3 linked regions of the Alligator mississippiensis genome follow. The protein of the gene in region 2 interacts with the protein of the main gene of each other region in a biochemical or structural test. Links are inferred from orthologs where the notes say so. Each region holds a gene or a part of one and is shown on either strand. Other genes may lie near its edges.

Region 1 (7,367 bases), on a different chromosome or scaffold from region 2:
CAGCTTGCATTTCTGAAAGCACCTTTCATTCATAGCCACTAGTATCTAGGGCTCTTTGCTGATTAGACAGTGACTGAGAAAACTATATACTTTAAAAAGGAAATGTCTGTCAGGAATCCATAAGTTGAGCACTGCATTCCAAAGAAGTCAGATCATAATTTTGCATGTGAAACATTGAAAAAGAGGAATTTTTATGAGGAAACCTCTGGTGAGATTTCATACTGCACATCACTGGGATAAGTGACAGGAGGGTTTGAGCTAACTGGAGTAAAACAACAGCACATCCCTAAGCTCTGGTGAGTTTAAATGGATTATAAGTGATCCCTCCACCTGTATCATTGCTCTGGCCCTGATAGGGAGACTGGAATAAGTCTATCTCATTGGAACCATTCTGACAAGGTATCCCTACAATGTGCCCTTAGCACAGGGGTGGGCAAAATATGGATCCAGCCTGCCAGGCCATTCTATCCGGCCCATTGGGCTCCTCCAAAAAATTATTACCGGCCTGCAACTGCTCTTCTGAAAGCCAGCAGGAGGCAGACTTTCAGAGGTCATGCACCATCAAAATGGGCAGGCTCTGTGCTTCTACCTGCTACTGCTGCTGTCAGTGACGGAGGCTGTACACCATGGGGGAGGAGGCACACATACCCATACCCCTTCAGAAACCCCACACCCCCCACAAATCCCACACACACACCCACCGACCACATCCCATGCCCCTCTACACACAACGTAGAAGAGTAAGACTTTATTTGAACTATTATGCAACCACCTTTTTATATACTATGCAAAAGCACATAAATCAGGGCCAAAATATTTTTTAAAATAAAATTAAAATGTGTTATAGTAGTTTGATTTGAGTATACAATTTTTTTTTTTCTGGTTCCAAGATGGCAACCCCCCCTCCCAGAAGGATTACTTCCATGGGAGGGAGGGTGGGTGGGGGGGAGAAGACAATATGGATGACTTCTGGTGTCAAATGTCAGGGGTTAGGGGCTTCCAGTCCCAAGATGGCGATTAGGGCAACGTTTCCCAACCGGTGTGCCGTGGCACACTGGTGCGCTATCAGGCACGTCCAGATGTGCCACGGCATTTTGGGCTGGAGCTATGCCCCCCGCCTGCTGCTGCTGCTGCGGACACAGACAGATGGGGAGCGTGGCTCCAGCCAGCCAGCGGGTGTAGTTCCAACCCAAAACGCCATCCAGCTGGCCACATGCCCTTCCCTCCACCCGCAGGTCAGCGTCCGGCTGGCTATGCACTACCCCAACTCCACATCTGGTGTGCCGTGGTGCTTTTTTATTTAGGTAAGTGTGCTGTGGGGTGAAAGAGGTTGGAAAACGCTGAATTAGGGGGTGGGGCACCTGTCAAGGGGCAGGGCTAACCTTGCAACCCTTGACAGCTCACCAAAACTTGTTAAGCAACCCTCCAGCTGAAATAATTGCCCGCTCCTGCCCTAGCATGTCATGGACAGATGCAAGCAAAATTTACTATAGACTTTAAACACAATGGAGAAAAATGAGGGGGAGAAGCAATCTGTACAAATGTATTCTCTGTATATACTGATTAACCACACACTTTGGGCCCAATTCAGTCGCATCACATTTGGCATCTGGTCAATGTCAAGTGGCTGGAAACTGTAACTACTAGGTCAGTGGCAGGCATTTGTCGCGACCCAGCACACACTATAATGTTAGTCCTACGACAACTGGTACAGTCCAGCAGTAAGTAACCTGTGTTCTCCTTTATACAGAGAGAGGCTAAGAAGGTAGTAAGACAGATGAGGGCGTGAAATAAAAGTCAGAGAGAATCACAGAGAAGAAGGGCTGGAACAGACCCCCAGAGATTATCTAATCCAACCCCCTGCCTGAGGTAGGATCATCCCCATCCAAACCATCCCATACAATCCATCATCTAAATTCTACGTAAGACTGCCGTCACCCATGACACAACACAGACCTCACCCCCTAACCTGTCACAGATAAAGCAGGGGAACCAGGGCAGCTAAAGACGTGCTTCTATGAAATACTGTCAGTATATGCTTGAGATCCCAGGCCATGGGCCATGCCCCTGCGACAGGAGGAAGGCAAGCCCACCCGCCCCCTCTGCCCCAGTACCAATCTGATCATGGAGCAAAATTCAGAAGTCAAACACTAGCATAATACATGCACATTCATATGAAACTGTCCTGTACTCACAGTTGTGTGAACATTGTGGGATGATCATTGCAATATTGAAGTACTCAAAGCATATCCCACAACGCAGCAAGTCGTCCACTGCCTGCAACAGGAACAAATTATCACTGGCGTCACCAAAAGCACCACTGAAAGCATTGCTTCAGGACAACACCTGTTTGTACCTCCAGACAAAAGTCCATCCCTGCACCTGTATCATTGCTCGGGCCCTGATATGCCTGGTCCAGTCTCTTTATATCATTGCAGCCATTCTGGCAAGGTCCCTACCGCGTGCCCCTAGCACGTCACGGGCAGATGCAAGCAAAACGGACTGCAGAGTGTACATACAGTGGAGCCAAGATATAAGGGGGAGAAGCAATCTGCACGAATGTATTCTCCATATACATTGATTTATGTACACACGCAATTAACCCTGCCCCCTCATGGGATGCAAAAGAAGTTGAACAGGTCGGTCGCCCACTGCCCCCAGCATGTGTCACGACTGCAAACGGTCGGGGGCTGCCGGGGAGCTGCAGGTGGTGGGGTCTCATCTCCGTTAGACGGAAACTGGGGCTGCTCCTGCTTTGAGCAGGGCTCGGATGAGATGCAACCTCCCGCGGCCCCTGCCAACCCTGTCCGTGAGCCTATGCACAGGTTACGTGGGGGTGTTCAATGGAAACAGCAGGTCTGTCTGTCGTCCTTCGGGACCGGGGGGGCTATAAAACAGTTCGGGGGCTGGGGCACACGACTGCTGAGGAGAAGAGGAGGGAAGTGGGGTTATTGAGTGTGGAGAAATGACTGAGGGCGGGATTTAGTGACACCTTGCAACTCCCTGCAGGGGTAGAAAGAGGATGGCGCTGGGCTGTCCTCAGAGGTGACAGATGACAGGACGAGGAGCGATGATCTCAAGTAGCAGCAAGGGAGGTTTAATTTGGATATCGTGCAAAACTCGCAGGGTGGTAACCCAGGGGCGGGCAGTCTCCACCCTGGAGGCTGCTCAGAGAAAGCCCTTCTCCCGCCCCGCCCCCACCTGCAGCGCGCGGGCCACGGAGAGCCCGCGCCGGGCCCAGCGCCCCGGGGTTTCCCGCTGCCTCCCTGCTGCCGCCCTGCCCCCGGCCGTCCCCGCACCCACCTTCAGCGGCGACAGCCGCTCCGGCCAGCGCGGCTCGAGCAGCGCCAGAGCCATGGCGGGCGGACCGGCGGGGGCAGCGGTGGCACCGCGGGAACAGCCCAACCGGCGTCCGAATCGCGCGCCCGCAGTGCGTCACACTTCCGGGTCGGCGCCGCGGGGGCCGCTGGGAGATGTAGTTCGCCCGCCGGAGCTCGCGGTTTCCCCCGTCTCCCCCACGCCTGACGTCACGTGCCATCTCCCCGCGGAGGGCGGGGTTCTGGGGGGGCGGGGCCGCCAAGGCGGGAGATGCGGCGACCTCCCCGCCGCGGGGTTGTCAATAATTACTATATCTGTGCGGTCATTTCAAGGACAGTATCATAATTCTCATACTTATAATGATCATACTGATCATAGTGATCATTATCACCATTATCATAATGATTATCATAATTATCAATAATTATATTTGTGCGGTAATTTCAAAGATAGTATCATAATTTTTACAATTATAATGATCATAATGATAAGATTATTATCAATAATTATAATATTTGTGCGGGCATTTCAAAGATAGTATCATAATTCTCATCATTACAATGATCATACTGCTCATAATGATAATATCATAATGATCAGTATGAGAATTATCATAATTACCAATAATTATCATGTTTGTGCGGTCATTTCAAGGATAGTATCATAATTATAATTATAATTATAATTATAATGATCATCATGATAATATCATAATGATCAGTATGATAATTATCATAATTACCAGTAATTATCATGTTTGTGTCGTCATTTCAAGGATAGTATCATAATTAACTTAATTATAATTATAATGATTATAATGATAATATTATCAATAATCATATTTGTGAGGTCATTTCAAAGGTAGTAGGAGAGTAAAAGCATTCAAAATGTATTTTTAAATTAAACAATATTTAACAATTTTTTTTTTTTTTTTGCAAATATCTAGTTTGTCTAATAAAAGATATCACCTCTCCCATGAGTCCCGATTCCTCTTTCAAAATGTACGAGACCTGTCAAGGCGGGGAGTTGACACAGCACGTGCCAAACCCGAGTCGCTCTGAGGGAGTCTTCGCCAACTTCGGGGTTGGCCGTCAGTGCTTTCTTATGACGGCTTGCCTCAAAATAAAAAAAAAACACTTCCACTTTGATGACCCAGTTCTCGCTCACTCACTGCTTCAAGTGAGCAATATAAAGTAAAGAAAAAGAGTTATTTGCATTTTTTCCATTTTTCAGCTATTACAGTTTCATAGTTGGTCGGGGTCGGAAGGGACCTGAGCAGATCATCAAGTCCGACCCCCTGCCATGGCAGGAAAGAGTACTGGGGTCAAACGACCCCGGCAAGGTGTTCATCTAACCTCCTCTTAAAGACCCCCAGGGTAGGAGCCAGCACCACTTCTCTTGGAAGTTGGTTCCAGATCCTAGCCGCCCTGACAGTGAAGTAGTACCTCCTGATATCTAGCCTGTATCTACCCTCTGCCAGCTTGTGACTGTTATTTCTAGTCACTCCTGGTAGTGCTCAGGGGAACAGGGACTCCCCCAATGCCTGCTGGTCCCCCCTGACTAGTCTGTAACAGGCCACTAGATCCCCGCACAGCCTTCTCTTATGGAGGCTGAACAGGTTCAGGTCCCATAGCCTCTCCTCGTACGGCCTGCCCTGCTGTCCCCTGATCATGCGAGTGGCCTCCTCTGGACCCTTCAGGGATGCTGTCCACATCCCTCCTGAAGTGCAGCACCCAGAACTGAACACAGTACTCCAACTGCGGCCTGATCGGTATCGATGCCACAGTCCCCTAGTTTTTTAATGAGAATGGAAATATGATACTTTTGAGCTTCCAGTACAATAATTTCATAGTTAAGACCTGGCAATGCAGGTGAACACAGTCTGAGGGGTGCCTGAGGTCTACAACAGTTGAGACCCACTGGGCTAGAGGCACCGCGGGTGGGTGCAGCCAGCTGCAGTTTCTTGCATTCGTATGCTTTACCTTCAGTGCACCATTGGCACAAAAATCCAACGGTGCCCAGGCCTCACGTTGCCCTGCCTCTCCCCCTCTCACACAGGCCACTTACCTGCGTACAGATGAAGTGCCCAAGCCTCTGGTGCGTCCATCCATCCCACTGTCTACTTTGACATTGAAACCTCCTCCCCATCACTGAAAATAAAGGCCTCTGCTACACGTTACATATATTGCACCATTCACTGGCAAATCGTGCAATAGATTTAGGCCAGCCACACATGCAAGGGGAGACCGGCCACATGTGCAAAATAATTACTATGCAATTATCTGGTGAAGCATGCAATACATTTAGACTGGCCACAGGTGCAAAGTGATTATCACACTGTAAAAATTACTTTCTAGCTATTAAGAGAGCCAACCAGCAACAAAGTGCTTGAAAATGTGTAACAGCTCTATAGCTGGTTTCTTATCCACCTTTAATCTGAACATGCAGCAAGGCCCAAAAAGGGGCACCGGTAGAGTAAAGAGAAGGCAGCTGGCAAAGTAGATCAGTGGGTGTGGGGGAGCTGTTTGAAGCCATAAAATTAACAAAGCTAGTCAGGGGCTCCTATGAGAAGCCTTCAATAGGCCATTTCAAGGCTACTAATATCATATCACTGACAGCAAGTTCAGCTTAGGGCCCTCAGGTTAAAGCTGAATGGAAGTCAGTTTATTAACTTCCATCCGATTAACCAGTTAGTTGCGTGATAATTACTTTGCACTTGTGGTCAGTCTTACTTTTGCATGTGTGGCAGGTCTACGTATATTGTGCGATTCACCAGTTAATTGGATAATATATGTAGCATAGCAGGTGCCTTATTACTTTGCATATGTGCCTGGTCTAACATTATTGTTCAATTAACCAGTCAATTATGTAATAATTACTTTGCACATGTATCCAGTGTACATTTATTGCACAATTTACCAGTTAATTGTGTAATATATGTAGCAGGAGCCATAGAGTTATTACACAGTTTCAAGCACTAACTTTGTACCTGGTTGCCCCTTTTTACAGTTGAATAGACATTTTTATGGCATGATGATTACTTTGTATGTGTGGCCAGTCTTAATTTTGGACTCATGATCAGTCTAAATTTATTGTGCGATTTAATTGTTAATTGTGTAATATATGTAACATGTGGCAGGGACCCTGGATTGTTCTGAATTTAATAAGCATTACTTCCATTAGGTTTGAGCAAGTGCAGAGTCTTTCTTCACTCCTGAGGCTAGTCACAGAATTGGATTACACTGTGCATTGTATATAGTACTATGACTTTTAATATGTATGTTAGAACAAATGTAAGACATAAACAAAATTAAAATTATATATTTGGGGAAGGCCACACAGTGAATTTGCTCCTTATAATGTCTGCTCCCAGTCCAAATGCTTTACATAGGCCTACAATCCATCCTTATCAAATCTATTCTTCCCAAATGTCCCCTATTTTATTATTATCATTTCCTTTATTCTCCTTTTCCTCTTAAAAAACTCTCCTTTCCCCCTTTTTTTTTTCTTCTTGTCTTTCCCTCAGTGGCTTATTGAAATAAGCCAAAAAAATGCAGCTCCAAAGTGTCATTGATATTTTCTGCCTTTTTGTGACATGAAATTATAGGCCCCCTATAGTGTAACTGCACACATTACACATGCATTTTGTATTATAATATTTACTTTTATGTTGTTCTCATAAAGTTTCCAACTTACAAGTAAGCATGCACAGGGAAAAATTACAAAGGCATTTGTTTCACAATTAATGATGTGTAAGCAAGTACTTTCTCCACTGTTGCTTTAAGCCTAGCACAGAAGATCAAGTCATTTGTCTCTCTTGTTTGCAAATATCTTGATAAATTAATCCAGTGCTCGTCTCAGATTCAGCAGAGTAACCAGAGTGGATGCCGTGACTAGACTCTTGCATTTTGAGGCAGTATCATGGAACGTTACTTAAAAATTCAGAAACTTTTTCTAAAAAAGAAGTGTCAACAATGTGCAGGTCTCTAGACGCTCAGCTCATTCAGTTTCCAAGCTGGCAAATCTTTTCATTTAACCAAGATACAAAG
Region 2 (8,421 bases):
TTCAGATCACAAATTGAGGCCCTTCAAAAACTAGGGTCATTCAGAATTAAGGAGGCCCCAAGCAATGAAAAACCATACGTCACAATTCCATTAGAGCATGGCTACTTGCCAAGGCCTTCTCCATATACAACCATATTCCAGTGAAGGCATAAAATTATTCAAATCTATCTAAGACCTCAGGTGATCTCAAATTACTGTACCCTTACCAGGCCAATACTGTTGCAGAAACAGTGGCTCCAGAAAGATAAAATCATACCAGGTACAGATACACATGCATGAATGCATTCTTCCTAATGTCCATTAAATGTAGTACCTCCAATGTGAGGTAGTGAAGTGTACATTAGGCTGCCCTAATATGCAGTACTGCAAGTGCACACTTTAAAGACACTTAATGCATAGTAGCCTATTTTACTGCACATTAGCGATTAGCGTGGTGGGTTTTTTTACATGACACTTTCATGCACAGTAAAAAAAGGCTACTGTGCATTAAGACATGTGTAGACATACCCACCAAGTGCCTAATTTTTGACCTACAGAAAAGAGGTCCCCCTAGTTTGACTGGCACAGCCGGGGGGGGCGGGTCATCTTCTTTTAGCATGGGGCATGGTCCTTTACCTAGGATCTTCTGGGCACATACATAAGCTTACTTCCTATTATTGCAAGGGTAATGAGGACACTGACAATGCTTTCATCCATAGCATTTCACAGGCTGCTTTTGGCATCTCAAAAATTTTGTTCCTTTGCTTGTAGGCAACCAAGTGAAGGGAGCAATTTGGGAAATTCCTTTACTTAAGGAGAATCTACAAATGCAGGGGACCAGACACAACAGGACTGGCAGGAGCCTCCTGAGCTACGTTTCTAGCCCTCTAACTTTAGAGTGTGGCACAGAGCACAAGGTAAAAGGCACCAGCAAACTATTCAAGTGGGGCACACATCTCCAGATGCCAACACATACAATTCTAGGCAGCAAGATAAAAAAAAGCTGTGCTGTAACAAAAAACAAAAAAAAAAAAACAAAAAAAAAAAAAAAAAAACCCCAACAAACAAACAAGCAATTTTATGCCCTGCTCATTTTTCCTGCCTTGGGTATTAAGAAACCCAGTACACAACCTGCGCCAGAACACCTGCCCAAGAATGTTAGCCGAGGAACAACCCAACAGACAAGAGGAATAACCTACTGCTAAAGCACACAGGAAATATACTCCAGCTACCAGGAGTGCACGTAGCCTTGGATTCAAGCTGATTATGGTTTGAATGCCTAGAACCTTAGGGATTTAAGATCAAGGCATGAGGGGAGGGCAGGGAAGAGAAATCAATACTTAAAAGCCCTAGATAGCATTAAATATACCAGCACTTTCAAAGCTGATCTTCCACAGATATATTGAAGGTGGTAGATCTTCTTGTCAAAATCCTTTGTTACTAAACATCTCAGTAACCCCAACACTGAACTACAAAATGAGACACAAAAAAAATAACAACTCTCAAGATCGATACCATTAATTCACAGGAGCCAGTTTCTCTTCCTCCAAGCTGTGATCCATTTCTGGGATGGCTGTGCACCGTAAAGACAAGACCCGTCTCATCACCCAGACCTGTTTATACTAGTATATTAAGGCCCAAGAAACCAAAGAGAACTTCTGACCTCAAACAATCCCACAAACAAAGGAAAGAGCCACAAGCACCAGGCACTGCAGGAAAAAAAAAGAGAAGAGACCAGCCACTAAGCAGGAGAGCTGGAGGTAGTCGTGTAGTTTTGTGGCTAACTAAGGACAAAAAAAAAGCAACTAATTAGAGTGTTCTTGGGTCTGAGGTACTTTAAAAGGGAAAGCATGAGCTCAGGAAGGCAGAGCCCTCAAGCCAAACAGTTGCTCCCTCAGAGGAAGAAACAGTTTTAGAGCTAGGGAGTCTTACCATGCAATTCATGATGAAAGCATAAGACTCAACACTAATTGTAGTCCTATACTGACACCTTTACAGAATAACTATTTCTAATTGTTTCTTTGCTTAGGTCTAGCAAGTTCAGGATAGATACTGGATCCTTCATACAGCATCAGAAGTGCAAACTTCAGAGAAAATAGTGAGCAAAGCTACAAACAATGACAAAGTTAGGGACAAATGTATCACGGGAAGTTTTTTTTTGTTTTTTTTTTTTTAGAAGGAGCGTAGGTACTTTCAGTTTTAAAAACTGAAAGTAGCTACAACTAGACTAAGGTAAGGAACCCTTAGTTCCACATTTAGGAAGTCAGACTTGGGAGGAGGGAGGGGAATAAGGAAGGAAGGTTTGCAGCGGTCAGGGACGTAGCACCACAGAGCAGTTTTAAGGACAGAAGTTTTGGCAGGGAGGTGGGCAGTGGTTGTGCTTCCCGGGGCTGCGGAGGTCCTAAGCTGACACCTGTTGCAGGGACCCAGAAGCAGGTCACACTGGGAAAAAGAACAAAAAAAACCAACCCTCCAAAAACCAAACCAAACCAAACCCCAGTAGCTTAGCGGCACTTACCATCCTCAAAGGGAGTCCCCTCGGGCCTGGAAGAGAAGGGGGAAGGGGTGAGCACAGAGGAAGGGTGAGCGCAGCGCAGGGGTGCCCCTCCGCCCGCCCCGCCCGCAGGGGGCGCCAGCCCGCGCATGCGCACTCACCCGAAGATGACGGCGTTCCACACCATGATGTTGTTCTCGGAGGGGGCGCCGCTCACGCCGGCCGGGGGGTCCTCCTGCAGCCTGCGGGCACGGGCGTGTCAGCGTGGCCAAGCTCCGCCCCCCGGGCGGGCCGCAGCTGGCGTAGCCCCCGGGAGTCACCCCCAGCAGTCAGCGTAACCCCGGCCCCCCTCCCTGCGCAAGCGGCGTGGCCTAACGCTACGCAAGCGGCGCAGGGCCGCTGCTCCTGCCGCCATGTTGGCCGGCCCCCTCCTCTCCCGGCCTCCCTCCGCCGCCGGCCTCGTTACCTCTTGAAGTCCCGCATGAGGCGCCTCCGGGCCGGCGTGGACATGGCGGGCTCAGGGTGACGAATCGCTCATACACTAGCCCCGGGAGCGAAGGAGCGGGCGCTCAGGGACACTAGGACGACGGCGGCGGCAGCTGGCTCCGACTAAGGCGGCGGCGGCGGGGGCTGCCGAGCGATACCGGGTCGTACCACTGCGCCGGCTCGCGGGGGGGAGGCCGAGACGGCGGCTCACTCCTCCCGGGCGATCCCGGGCTGTACCACTGCCGCGGGGAGGAGGAACCGCACGCGAGTGAACCCTGCCGGACCCTACCACCGCGGTGGAGAAGCGGGAGGCGGTGTCTAAAGGAATCCGGGATGTACCAAGTACCGCGGCGGAGGAGGGGCAGCAGGAAGTGAGACGGCACCACTGACGTCAGCGGAGAGGGCGTGTTCTTGCCATTGTTCCCGCCCTGGGCGTGGCTGGGGGCGTGGCCTTGCACCTGCTGCCTCAGGTGAGGGCAGGACAAGGGATCTCAGTGTGTTTAAGGCGGGAGCGAAGGTGGAGGGCAGCCTCACCCCATGAGTCACGGGAATGAAGCCACTTTGTTATCCCTGACCTGTCCCCCAAGGTGCTCCACGCACCCCAGGAGTTTCTGCTTCCAGCCGGGAGCCTTGCACATGTCTTAGAAAAATTAAAGGGGGGGCTAAAAACTGCCTGGGAGGGAGCACCACCGCCTCCCTTTGCCACGGTGACCCACAGCCACCCTCACCAACACCCCTTGTTTCTAGCCCAAAATTGCCGAGCTTTAGCCTCCAGCCGTTGGATCCGCTTTGTCCTTGTCTGCTCCATCAAAAAGCCCACGATCAAAGTTTTAGGCAGGCCTTGGCAGTTGTAAACTGGGATCAAGGCACCCCTGAGCCCTCCGACAAGCTCTTGGGTTCTTTGCAAGGTTTTCCAGTGTTTTAATCGTTCTGCTGAACCCTCCCCAATTTATCAACTGGAATACAGCTGCAGGGGGAACATGACCTGACAATTAGGAACAAAGAGGCTGCCTGCTCAGCTATCGATCTGATGGAGGATGTGTTTATGGCAGTAGGAGGCTGGGGAAAGCCTCACTGTCCATCAGGGTGAGGTGGCCTCCTACCGGGACGGGTGGGGCACTGGGATGTCTGCCTCCCCTGCGTCCTCTGCTGGAAACCCGAGACACGCGTTACTTGAATAATGTCCAGATCTTGCTAGATCAGAGATGCAGAAACAGTGATTGTGCAGATGTGAATCTTCACAGTCTTTTGTTTCCTCTGCGTGCATCTGGTGAGGGTGTGTCCTGATGTGTAAGAGGCAGGATCTCCTAGGTTATGTTCCGAGTGGGACTCGTGCTAAATAGTTTTTTCCAGTGAAATTAATTATTTGCCTTTCACACTAGGCTCCATTTTCTTTTTGTAAACCCCAAAATCAGTTTACCCAACAGGGCATTCTCTTTACCCATACAGTAGGTAGGAGTAATCACTTTGGTACAAATATCAGCAGTTTGCTAATTATGTTTGTTAATGTTACAAGGTGGTGAAACATTCTCAATACAGAAAAGGATCAGAATATCATATGCTGGCATATTCAGGCAAAATTAGATTGGGGGATGTCAGCAACCAATGTGATATGGCTGTGAAAAAGACAAATGATGTCTTAGAATGTATGACTTGGTGCAGTAGATATAAAGGAAAGTATTAAAGCTGCTGAACAAGGCACCAGTGAGACATCATCTAGAACATGATGTAAAATTCTGATCATGCTTGCTGAAGAAAGATGAATTCAGACTGGAGCAGGAACAGAGAAGGATTACTAGAATGGCAGGGACTGGTGAACCTATTTTATGAGAGAAGATTAAAAGACCTTGTCATATTTAGTCTACTGAATTGTAGGCTGATACTGGTGATGTCACTGGGAAGATGCTGCAAGCTGAGGTGTTGCCTGGGCTGGTGTTTCTTTGAAACCTGTATCCCATTAATTATTTTCACCACAGAAAAATTGCTTTCTATATGAGTTCTGACAATAATGACAAATTCTCGCCTCCCTTTGAGGATTTTTTTTTATCTGCATGGCTTGTGTCTGGAAAAACCATGTTTCTCTTTGATCCCTTGACTTGCCTGTCATTTCACCCTTTTGCTCTTCATGTTTCCTTTAGGGAGATACTCTTCCCTCCACATCAGAGACCTTTCTCCCTCTATGTTGTGACAGAACTTCAAACTTAAGAGTCAAGCCCTTACTTAGCCTACAGAAGCTGGGAATTGAGAGATGATCTCTCAATTAAACTTTCTCGTTAGAGCCAAAGGATCTGCAGAAGCTTGCATGCAGCTCCATAATGAAACTTGTTTTAGTTCTTTTCATTCATGTATGTCTGTGTTTACTGAACCTGGTGATCTCTACACAAGAGATACAGGCATTCCTTGTCAATGGCATTATCTTTCCCCTAGAATCACATCCAGTTGGGAAGGACCTCATGCCAGCCATCAGAGAAGAGGGTCTACTGCTTCTTGCCAGGAGAACAGCATAACCCATGCTGCTGTTCCCATGTAGAAACAGGAACCTTAGAACTTCCTCTTGGCCCATTTATTGTCTAATATCCTTCCAGCTAATCAGATCCATCTTTGGGGCAGAATGTCAAGAGCCGAGCTTTCTGCTGACGGTTGGAGTCCGTCTGTCCAAGTCCAACTGTTGTGGGACGTCTGATCCCGACGCTCCACCCCTGTTGCTGCATTACGTGATTCCAGCTGGAATGGGACTTTCTGACCCCTATGTTTGACCCCTTCTGCTACAGGGACATTACCCCTGCTTGTGTCAGGAAGGCGGAGGAGTTTATATTTATGGAGACAGAACAAGGTTTTATTCTGTAGGTATCAGACTTTTTAACAGTTTAATGGAGATGGGTGGTCTTGCTTATGGGAAGTGAGTCCTTTCATGCTTTTAGGATTGCCAGGCTGACTTCTATACAACTACTTGGGTGCCAGGGCTTCTGAAATGACTATCTGAGCATGAAATTTTAAATGTATGTGGATGCTTTTTTTTTCATCTGGTTGTAAACTGGACTTTCTTGTAGTGGCAAGAGTAGCTTTTGTAATCTTATGTTAGAGCTGTGAGTTTCTTACCTGCTTGGGGGGAGGAAGGAGCGTGGTACATCTTCTCGTTACACCCACATCAGACTATAAATGAGGGATGAAAAAGAGCATCATCTCTAGTATATGGTGTATAGCCTTCCTTATCTTCATTACAAGGATTCAGTCCTAGGAAATTACAAGTCTGAGTCGTCTGTGTTCAACTGTGATCTGAATGGCCTGGGTTTGCTTCAAAGCGGCACAGGGTATGCTAGGGCATATAGGTTTAATGGGCCTCATTTCTGCACTGCAGATGAAAGTGACTGAAAACTATAACTATTTAATTTAGATACCTGTAATTAAGCATTTGGCTCTTACTTCACTGAAAAACAATGAGCAATCTGCCCAGCACAGCCTCGTAGCTCCCTAGAGTTACTAGCGACTTGGGGGTGTTTATTATCATAGCTAATAACTGTAAAGATAAGGATTTGTAAGCAAGGAGTAATTTCACTCACTCCTCCTGGCTGAATGGCGCTTGCCAGACCACTGGGCCATAATCCCACTCTATTTTTCAGGGAGGGCTGCCGACTCCTACACTTCTACTCCTCCCTGAAAGCCTTACATTAAGTTAATTGGACTTATTTATTATTGACTGTGGAGGGAAATTATTTTGGCTCCATTTGGATAAAATTTAGTTCTTTGTGCCAAATTCAGATCTCGAATAAGTCCATCTACACTCATTTAATGAACGTGCATTTAGTGACATGAGGTCTTAAGTTAGCCTTTGATGACTCTTGTTGACATAAAATCTATGTCTTATGTTCTCTTGAACTTCAAAATAGAGTCTGATTACATTATCTGAATGTTTCCAAGTTTCGTATAAGTATAAATTACAGTCATCCATAAATAGCTGTTGCAGCAGACACAGTGTACAAAAAGTAAAATAAAATAGAAATGAGCTCTGGTTTCTTGGAAATCACTTTTAGCATCTTATAGGACATCCAAAGAATGGACTTTTACCTTCTGTCTCAGTGAAGTTAAATTAGTTCCACAACCAGTCAACGACAGCCATATTAGCAGATAATTTAAGGTATATATTGTGTACAGGAGCCATGGCAATGGATGCATAATAAATTATTCTACAAATAAATGTATACCAAGTTAAACCTTTAAAATTGCCTCCTTCTGGAATACTTTACAGAATTTAATTTAATATATGCTATCAGAAACAGTCAGTAGGTCATATTCCCAGACCCAAACTGATGGCTCAATCTTTCCAGGTGCCAAGTCTCCCAACTGGATGGAATGGACTTCACAGATTCTTACACTTCTCATTGTACTTTCGGATTCGTAGAACTTGACATTCATTTGATTCTGCATAGGAGATTACAGTATTACCAGTATTAACTCTACAAGAGTTAATACAATAGGCACTCTTTATAAGGAAGCATATTTCCAAGATGGCAGGGGATAAAAGTCAATATGAAATTGCCAAATTATTCAGCTCTTTGTATACCTCCATTTTTCCAGATAAGTATTGGGTAAAATCACTTTTTGTTCTTACTTTATCACTCAGCTGTTTGCACTCCATTTATATCTTGAAGAATATGTTGAATGTGCAATGCCAAGAACGGTTTCTTCTATTCTTTGCATTCAGAATGTTTAGAATTATGAAGAGTGCTCATGGGAAATTACAAAATAGGGTTATATGAACAAAAAAACTTGTTCAGTCATTTCTGTAAAATCCAGTGCATATTGCCCAGCTATGACAGAAGATCTACAATGTGCAAAGAACTCCCACAGTGTAATGCACACAAGTAAACTCCTGCATCCATGGAGAGGGATTTTCAGCTGTTTTAGGGTCCACCTGAGCATAATAGTGTAGGATTTGTTGCTTAAGTTTACACAGGTTGACATTTCAGTGTAGGGCCCACCACACTGTGGAGTTAGAGATTGTCAGGATCCTGAAAAGAATCATGGGGAAGAAGTCCTGGAACTATTACAAGACTACTGGATATAAGGATATGTAGATACAGTGGTCCTACCTCCTCCTTACACCAGACATCTGCTTGTAATGAATTGGCTGGAGTCAGTGTTGTGTTGTAGCTACAGCATCTACCTGTATGTTGTACAGTGAGCTTTTCTCTCACTCCTTGCTTGCACACAGCCTCAGCAGTCAAGCTTAGGGTAGCAGGATCAATTCATTTCTCAGAAGGCCTATAGATACCATGGTGATAAATATTATATAAAAGCCTAAACTGAGATAGATGAGTGGATGAGCCAGAAACAAGGAATTTAACTTTCAAGCAATTTACTTACAAGAACAATTGTCCCCCTTCTTTACCGCCCTCGATATAACAGATTCCAGGCTTTGCATCTGAGCAGGTTTAATTTCTGCATTGTGATTTGTCTAATGG
Region 3 (7,397 bases), on a different chromosome or scaffold from region 2:
CCAATTCTTCCTGTCCCCAATGGAAGCCCTCAGACCCTCACCAGACAAGGCCATAATGGCCACTTTATGCAAAAGCAAGCACAGACCTGATTAGGTCTGAATTAATTGAAAGACAGCCTATCCTAGGGGCAATTCTTATAGTCTCTCCTCCTTTCTCTCTCTCTGTGAAGAATTTTGCCATGTGTGTTTCCAGTACCTTTCAGAGGATCATGCTGCCTACTAATTTGGTACAAAATTTAGGTAACAATAATAAAAAAACCTGTAAAACTCAGAGCCCCACGGTTTCTAATTGGGGGCGGGGGAGCGGGGGTTTGCTGGATTTCTTAACAGCCGACACTGCAGCTTCTCAAGCTAAGAAAGGCACTTCAAAATGAGACAGAGGACTGCTTCATGTGCTCTATCCCATCCTTTAAATATAGCTACCGCAAAGTTACAAACCAGTGACTCTGTGAGGTTTGTTGTTTTTTTAAAAATAATCTATGTTAGAGGTGCACTGATACATCGGTCCAATATCAGATTGGTACCGATATAAAGAAAATTGTGTATACATCGGGCTGATATTTTGGCCAATAAACACCCGTGTTGTGTGCAGCTGCAATGCAGCATGGAGCAGAGCTGGCAGCATGGAGCGCTGCTTCCAGCTGATAAGTTGGAAGGGGCATGGGGAGGGAAGGGGCATGGGAAGGGGGCAGATCAACGGCCCACTGCAGTGAGGGAGGGGACAGGTGCTGCCCAGCCAGGGGGCAGAGGGGGGTGGCTCCCACAGCTGCTTGCACTGGGGGGGGGGGGGGGGGGGGGGGGGGGGGGGGGGGGCATTTGCCCCTGGATGTTCGCGGCGCGGGATGGGCTGCAACTGTGGGATGGAGCTGGAGCCGGCACTATGCAGGGCTCTTCTCGCCAGAGGCTGGGCTCAGAGAGGGCTCAAGCACTGCTAGGAGGAGACTGCAGCCACCCCAAATTTTGCTGCAGCTTTGTTTCCAGCCCTGTGCCGCTGTCCAGCTCAGCCACTGCTTTTCCCAGTGCTTGGGTGGAGGCGGGGCATTCAGCTGCGACTGCACTGGCCACTGGGCAGCAGTGAGGGGCTGGGAGTGGAGATGCGGTGAAATCTGGGGTGGCTACAGCCTCCTCCCAGTGACACCGGAGCCTGCTCCAAGCCCAGCGGCAAGAAAAGCCCCATGAAGCACCATCTCCACCCCGCAGCTGCAGCCTGCCCCATGCCGTGCCTATCTGGGGTCACACGCCCCCTGCCTTCCTGGGGTACAAGCAGTGGCAGGAGCTGCCCCCCCCACAAGCCGCACCTCTATCCTGCCACCCCCCCCGCCCTGGCTGGGCAGAGCCTGCCCCTACCCCCTCCCTCACCGCGGGGGGCGTTGATCTGCAACCCCTCCTGCCATGCCCCTTCCCTCCTCCCCTCCCTTTCCACCACAATGGACTGACCAGCTGATGGCAGCTGCATCAGAAATTGGACTGGTATCGGCTGATATGCCTCCTTAAATATCGGCTATCAGTATCAGCCCCCAAAATCTCTATTGGTGCACCTCTACCATATGTATGTAGGCATGTATGAGGGTACACATAAACATTTACATGTGTATACACATATGTATATACGCATTCACACATTTTAGTAATATAGGTGCATATAGGTGTGTATACATGCATATGTACATGTACACAAGCATCTGTATATACACACAGGAACTTTTGTTTTTAAAAATCGATATATGTATGCATGCACATACATGTGAGCATGTGTAAACACACACGTTCTTTTAATCTATATGTATAGGTGTGGGTATACACATAAATACGTGTATCCTCGCATACAAATACATATACATACCCATGCTCTTTTTAATCTATATGCATTTACATACGGATACATACATACATGTATACACACATACGCATAAATGTATACACTAGAGGTGCACCAATGCATTGGTCCAATATCAGATTGGCACGGATATAAAGAAAATTGTCTTTATCAGAAATCAGCCTCATATGGCAGATAATTTGGCTGATAAATGGCCTGTGCCTGCGTGGCTGCAGGGCAGCACATAGGCGGCGAGAAGCACAGCCCGGCAGCTTGAAGAGCAGTGTCCAGCTGGTAAGTCTGGTATGGTGGAAGGGGAGGGAGGAATGGAAGGGGCATGGTGGGGGGGCAAATCAAGGCCCCCTGCGATGAGGGAGGGAGTGGAGCTGAGACAGGGACAGGGGCTGGGGCAGGGAAGGTGTGGGACGGAGCCGTGGCTCATCCAGGGGGCACAGGGAGGGGGCTCCCGCTGCTCGTCCAGGAGGGCACGGGGGGGCAAGCATGCCCCTGGATCTGTGCGGGGCAAGCAGGGCCAGGGCTGCGCCACTCTGTGTTCATGGCAGGTGGCAGCAGCACTGGGAGCAGGGGCTTTGGCAAATTTTGGGGTGGCTGCAGTGCTCCCTGTATCCCTGCCCTCAGTGCCGCCTGCCCCGACTGCCGTCTGGTAGTCCCGGCCCTGACCACCCCGCACAGATCTGGGGCACATGCCCCCCACCCCAATGCCCTCCCCTGGATGAGTGGCGGAAGTAGCAGCAGAAGCCGCCACCACAGCTGTGTCCCACACCCACCCTGCTCTGGCTGAGCCCCGGCCTCACTCCTCCCTCACCACAGGGGGCCTTGATCTGTCCCTCCCCTGTCCCCGTCCCCGTCCACCACAACAGACTTACCAGGTGGATGCTGTTCTTCAGGCTGCTGGGTTGGTATCGGAAATCAGATCGGTATCGGCCGCAAACATCTCTATCGGTGCATCCCTAGTATACAGACATTGTTAACAATGAATATGCATTTATGTATACGTATGTGTACACAATTTATTGATAAATATAATATATACCTATATCTATATATACAAACACCTGTGTATACATATGTATAGATATTATTTTTAATAATCAATATGCATTTATGCATATGCATATACATTAACACATGTATACATACATGTACACGTGCATATATATGTGTCTATACACATTATTTTTAATAATCAATGTGCACCAATGTATATGTATGTATGTACACACACCCTGCCCCCCGCCCCCTCCCTCCAGGCCTACAACTCGCGGGGGTGGGGGTGGGGCGCTGGGCCCCCCTGAAGCCAACGCTCCCCCCTCCTGGAGGCTGCCCCCCTCCCCCGCCGGGCCGAGCCGAGCCCCCAGCGCTGCCCCTCCCCCCGGGCAGCCGCGCGCAGGGAGCACCCGCAGCCCCCAACGTCCCCCAGGGCGGACCCCGCCCCTGCGCGTGGGGGGAGCTCCGGCCCTAGCCCCGGCCAATCCCCCGTGCCGCACCCCGAGCTCACCGCCGCCCGGCGCTGCGCCTCCCCTCTGGCCTTCTACCCCTGACCCAGCCGGAAGCGGTCAGTGACAGCGGCTCCGCCAATCAGCGGCCCACTGCGCAGGTCGTCACCCCGAAGGCGGTGCCCTCACTAAATATGGCTACCGCACCGCTTTGCTTTCTAGGCTCCTGAAGCCATGGCGCCGTGACGCACCCTGGGCGTGCCTTTCCTGTGGATGGTCCGGAGCGGCTATGCTCCGTGCCCTTACTTGACATGGCGACTGCCTCCCGTTGTTTTCTAAGGGGTTGACGCTGGCAGGAAGGGAAAGGGTGGCTGCCGCCCTTCCTCTGCGTGGGCGGAAGTGGCGGAGAGGAAAGGGTTGAGGCGAGGCCCGAGGACTCCTGTGGCACCAGCGCTGCGTGCCTGCGGAGCGCCACCTGTAGGAAGAACAGGGGCCCGGGGGGTCCTTTGGTGGCTGCATCGGCAGTGCTCAAGAAAACCCTCACAAATCAAAGCAGCCCGGTTGCACGGTGGAGCTGTGGTCAGCAGGTGGCACTGGCCGTGTTGCCCCCTGAGCCAGCCCTGCCGCAATGGGCAGCACGGTCCTTGCAGGCGTTGCGTTGCCAGGGGTGAAAACCAAAAGCTGGGCAGCGTTTGCAGTCCATGCAGCTAATGATAGAGGGGAGAAGAGGATAGGGAACCAGCCTAGAATCGTGCCGTGACGGCGAGCGAGTCACTTCCCTCAGTTCCCCTCTGCAGGGTGTCATAGTGGTCTGGAGATTGTGTAGCCCAAGCCCAGGCTCAAGGCAGCAGATTCATTCCTGCTGTTAAAAACATAAGGTTTAATATGCAGGAGCTCAGACGCACCCTGGTAATGCCAGAAGGTTTAATATGTATTAGCCTGGGAATTAGGAATATATACAGTGTTGATATACTTACTGCAGCTAATCTGGGAGAGAGGATTTGTCATCCAAATCTGAACTAATTGTTCTTTAAAATCTGCTCTCACTGGCCTCTTGATTATTCCAAGTCCCAGTGCCCATACCACGCCTAGTCACGTGTGCAGTGCCATACTCCCGAGTGTATTATACAGGGCCCAGAAGAATGAGTACCAAACTACACTTTAAAAAAAATCCTGCTTAGCCATAAAATGACACCACCCTTGTCAAAGCCCTGTATTTCAGCCTGTGACCTCCGACAACAGCAATTCCAAAGATTGATTATATGATCTATGAAAAAATATTTCCTTTTGTGTGTTCTGAAGTGCCTTACTCTTCAGTTAATTGAGAACTAAACTTATTTCCACATTGTGGACCACATAAGACTGGAGGGCTGGTCACTTTTTTACCGTACTTTTCATAGCCTTAAATATTTCAGTGATTCCTTTACTTCATCTCCTTTCAAAACTAAACAATTCTAGTTTTTTGTAGTCTCTGCTCATTGTCATGACCCAAAGGTCTGATTTTTTTTGTGTGTGCTTCGGCACTAAGAATTATCCCCGCAGGTATACCGCTTCGTTACACGGAGGAGTTCTGCTGCGCAGAGAACCCGCATGCAGGGAAGTGTTCCCGCCACTTTGCAGCGATCTTTGCAGGGTGCATTTCCTTTGGAGCACAGAAATGCACCGTGCAAAGGTTTCCCGCTCGTGGTATGCAAATTTGTGCCCCGCAATTGGCTAGTTCTAAATTATTCACACATGGCGGCTAGCGATTGGCCTGCTAGCCGTATAAGAGGCTTGAGCAGTTTCTGCCCAAGCCGAAGAGGACTTTGCATCCATCTTGTGGGGATTCTGGGTGTGTGTGGCAGGGTAATAGAAACCCTGTGTGTCGCTCAGAGGAGTTTGGCGGCCTGATCCACCGCCCACCTCTTCCCGTCTTCGAACGAAGCCTACTATAAGATGTAACGACGAGTTTAATGCGTGCTTGTCCTGGACATCCGGAGTTTGTCATGTTCTGTCTGCATGGAGCCTTGCAACCTCCACGTGTGTTCGTGTTTTTTGTTGTAACCACAACTCAAGCAAGTTCTCAGCCTACACCACGACCATCTCGGTGTAAGTAAAATAATCTTAAAATCAACCGTTACGTGTCTGTGCCTAATTCTAGCTCGGCGCCCGCCCTCTCCGACCCGGCCTGCCCGGGCTGCTGGCCACAGCCTGCGTGCAGAGCAACGTAAGCGACCCGGGGTCAGACCCGGCGCGCACACTCATGTGAAAATCCCATGGAGTGTTGCCCATTTTTTAATCCTTTTAGCTCTGCCTTTCTTTCAGAGCAACAAACCCAGCACACCTGGGAAGAGCACTTGTGTTCAGTGTCATTAGAATACAATCTGGTTTGCAGTCTGATGACAGACAGGCTTTATAATTGCTATTTTATAGTGGGCAGATCTCATAAAGATCACATTATGCTTTCATACCCTTAAAGTGTAGAGGCTCCATTTAAGATTTAGAGTCAGCTAAAAGAGCCCCCAATTTATACTGTTTGTACCTTTTGTGCCTGACAAAAAAGTACACATGGGAAAGCTGTACACAAGAAAGATTTAGGTACAGACAGTTTTGAAAACAAAGAGATAATTGGTGAAAAGGCTGAGCTCATCATAAATCAAGACAAAGAGTCTGATGCTGCCACAAAATCAGGATTTGAATGATGTGTCTTCATTTAGGTACTGTTTCAACATAGCATTTAAGTACATACTTAATAAGCAAGAGGTGAGCATTTTCTCGGATGATATTTTTATTGGACCAACTGCATGGTTGAAATAAAGTTCGACAAGCTTTTGAATGCATTTAAGTCCTGTTTATATCATAATATTTATGCGTATGCCTAATGTTTAGGAATGTAAGATATACAATGTGAAGTAGCTTCTGGGTCTTTGAGCCCTGTCCTTTGCTATGGTAGACAACTACATCATATAATCTCATTTATATATTCATCAAGCTCCATCTTAAAAGCTATTATATTTCTTGCCCCTCCTATGCCAACTAGAAGGCTGTTCCAGAACTTCATTCCTCTTATGATGAGAAATAGTTCTCAGATGCACATTGCTGTATCAGAGCTACTACATTATGGTGCTTTTGCAATTAAACACATAATAAAATGCAGAGCATACTGTAATTTACGGAACCCCCTCCCACCCCCCAAAAAATCTGTTGTGTAAAAAAAAAAAAAAAAAAAATGAATGGCAAATGCTTTACAAGTAGGAACTAGGTCAAGATCCACTTTTCATTAAAACACTGCAAGATTTCTGCATTTCTAAATATTGTGCCAACTGTGCAGCCACAGAAACTGGCACAAGAAGCAAAGGGGGGGGGTCCCACTTTTATATATAACATCATAGGAGTTAGGGTCACAAGCCAATGCCAAAGGGAGGGAAAAGGTAAATAGACATTAACACTGTGGTACATACACTCAGCACCTTAATTTCCCGCCCCCACGCACACACCACTGGAGGTGTCCCCAAACCAGCCTTTAGTCCCCAGAGTGCTCAAACAGCAGGCTGCACTTGTTCTCAAGTCTGAGGCCAGCTCCTTCAGTCCGCAGCCCTGGCTAACCGAGCCAGTGAGATCTACAGTCCCACTATGCATCCCCAGTGTCCAGCAACCAAGCATAGCCCTCTCACAGCTCTCTGCTTCTCTTCTGGCCACCCCCTGCTTCCTCTTCCTTTTCACTTTGTCCTCCAGCCCCTGGGAAGTTTCTGGGGGTTGAAGTCCACATTAACAGTCAACAGAGCTCTGCAGAAGCCTTGCTTCTTGACAGTCTTAAAGGAAGATGGTTAAATATGTTATCTTAACACAATGGTAAAGGTGTGTCTGTCTTTCATGAACTAGGCTGATTTGGACAAGACTAGCTGCAGAGGCACTATAGTATGAACTTCAGTGGATCACAAGAGATCATGTAGTCTAAACCCCTGTGCGTAGGCAAAATCAGATTTACCAAGATTGCCTTGACATTTACTTAGCCTCTTCTTCAAATCATCCAATAAACAAGACTCCAGGATATCCACTGATACACAATGATGCTCAACCTCGTTGTCCAGTGGGCTAGATGTGCAGTGCCTGGTCTCTCCACAGGCTGGCTTTCACTAGTGGTC

Evidence for each region.
Region 1: the proteins of UBE2A (region 2) and RAD18 form a complex in vitro, tested with the Homo sapiens proteins (12 studies listed by BioGRID, with this or other methods). The link is inferred for Alligator mississippiensis from reciprocal best matches to the Homo sapiens genes UBE2A and RAD18.
Region 3: the proteins of UBE2A (region 2) and RNF20 form a complex in vitro, tested with the Homo sapiens proteins (4 studies listed by BioGRID, with this or other methods). The link is inferred for Alligator mississippiensis from reciprocal best matches to the Homo sapiens genes UBE2A and RNF20.

The regions. Positions count from the first base shown.
Region 1 is NC_081835.1:14,536,958-14,544,324, forward strand, and holds the start of RAD18 (E3 ubiquitin-protein ligase RAD18), read right to left. Parts: upstream 3,434-7,367; 5' UTR 3,358-3,433; coding exon 3,304-3,357; intron 2,278-3,303; coding exon 2,196-2,277; intron 1-2,195. UniProt on the Homo sapiens protein: E3 ubiquitin-protein ligase involved in postreplication repair of UV-damaged DNA. Postreplication repair functions in gap-filling of a daughter strand on replication of damaged DNA.
Region 2 is NC_081831.1:72,656,481-72,664,901, forward strand, and holds the start of UBE2A (ubiquitin-conjugating enzyme E2 A), read right to left. Parts: upstream 3,154-8,421; 5' UTR 2,984-3,153; coding exon 2,940-2,983; intron 2,716-2,939; coding exon 2,635-2,715; intron 2,524-2,634; coding exon 2,498-2,523; intron 1-2,497. UniProt on the Homo sapiens protein: E2 ubiquitin-conjugating enzyme that accepts ubiquitin from the ubiquitin-activating enzyme E1 and transfers it to a E3 ubiquitin-protein ligase. In vitro catalyzes 'Lys-11', as well as 'Lys-48'-linked polyubiquitination.
Region 3 is NC_081826.1:162,743,105-162,750,501, forward strand, and holds the start of RNF20 (E3 ubiquitin-protein ligase BRE1A), read right to left. Parts: upstream 3,434-7,397; 5' UTR 3,336-3,433; exon of another isoform or gene 3,325-3,335; intron 2,788-3,324; 5' UTR 2,704-2,787; intron 1-2,703. UniProt on the Homo sapiens protein: Component of the RNF20/40 E3 ubiquitin-protein ligase complex that mediates monoubiquitination of 'Lys-120' of histone H2B (H2BK120ub1).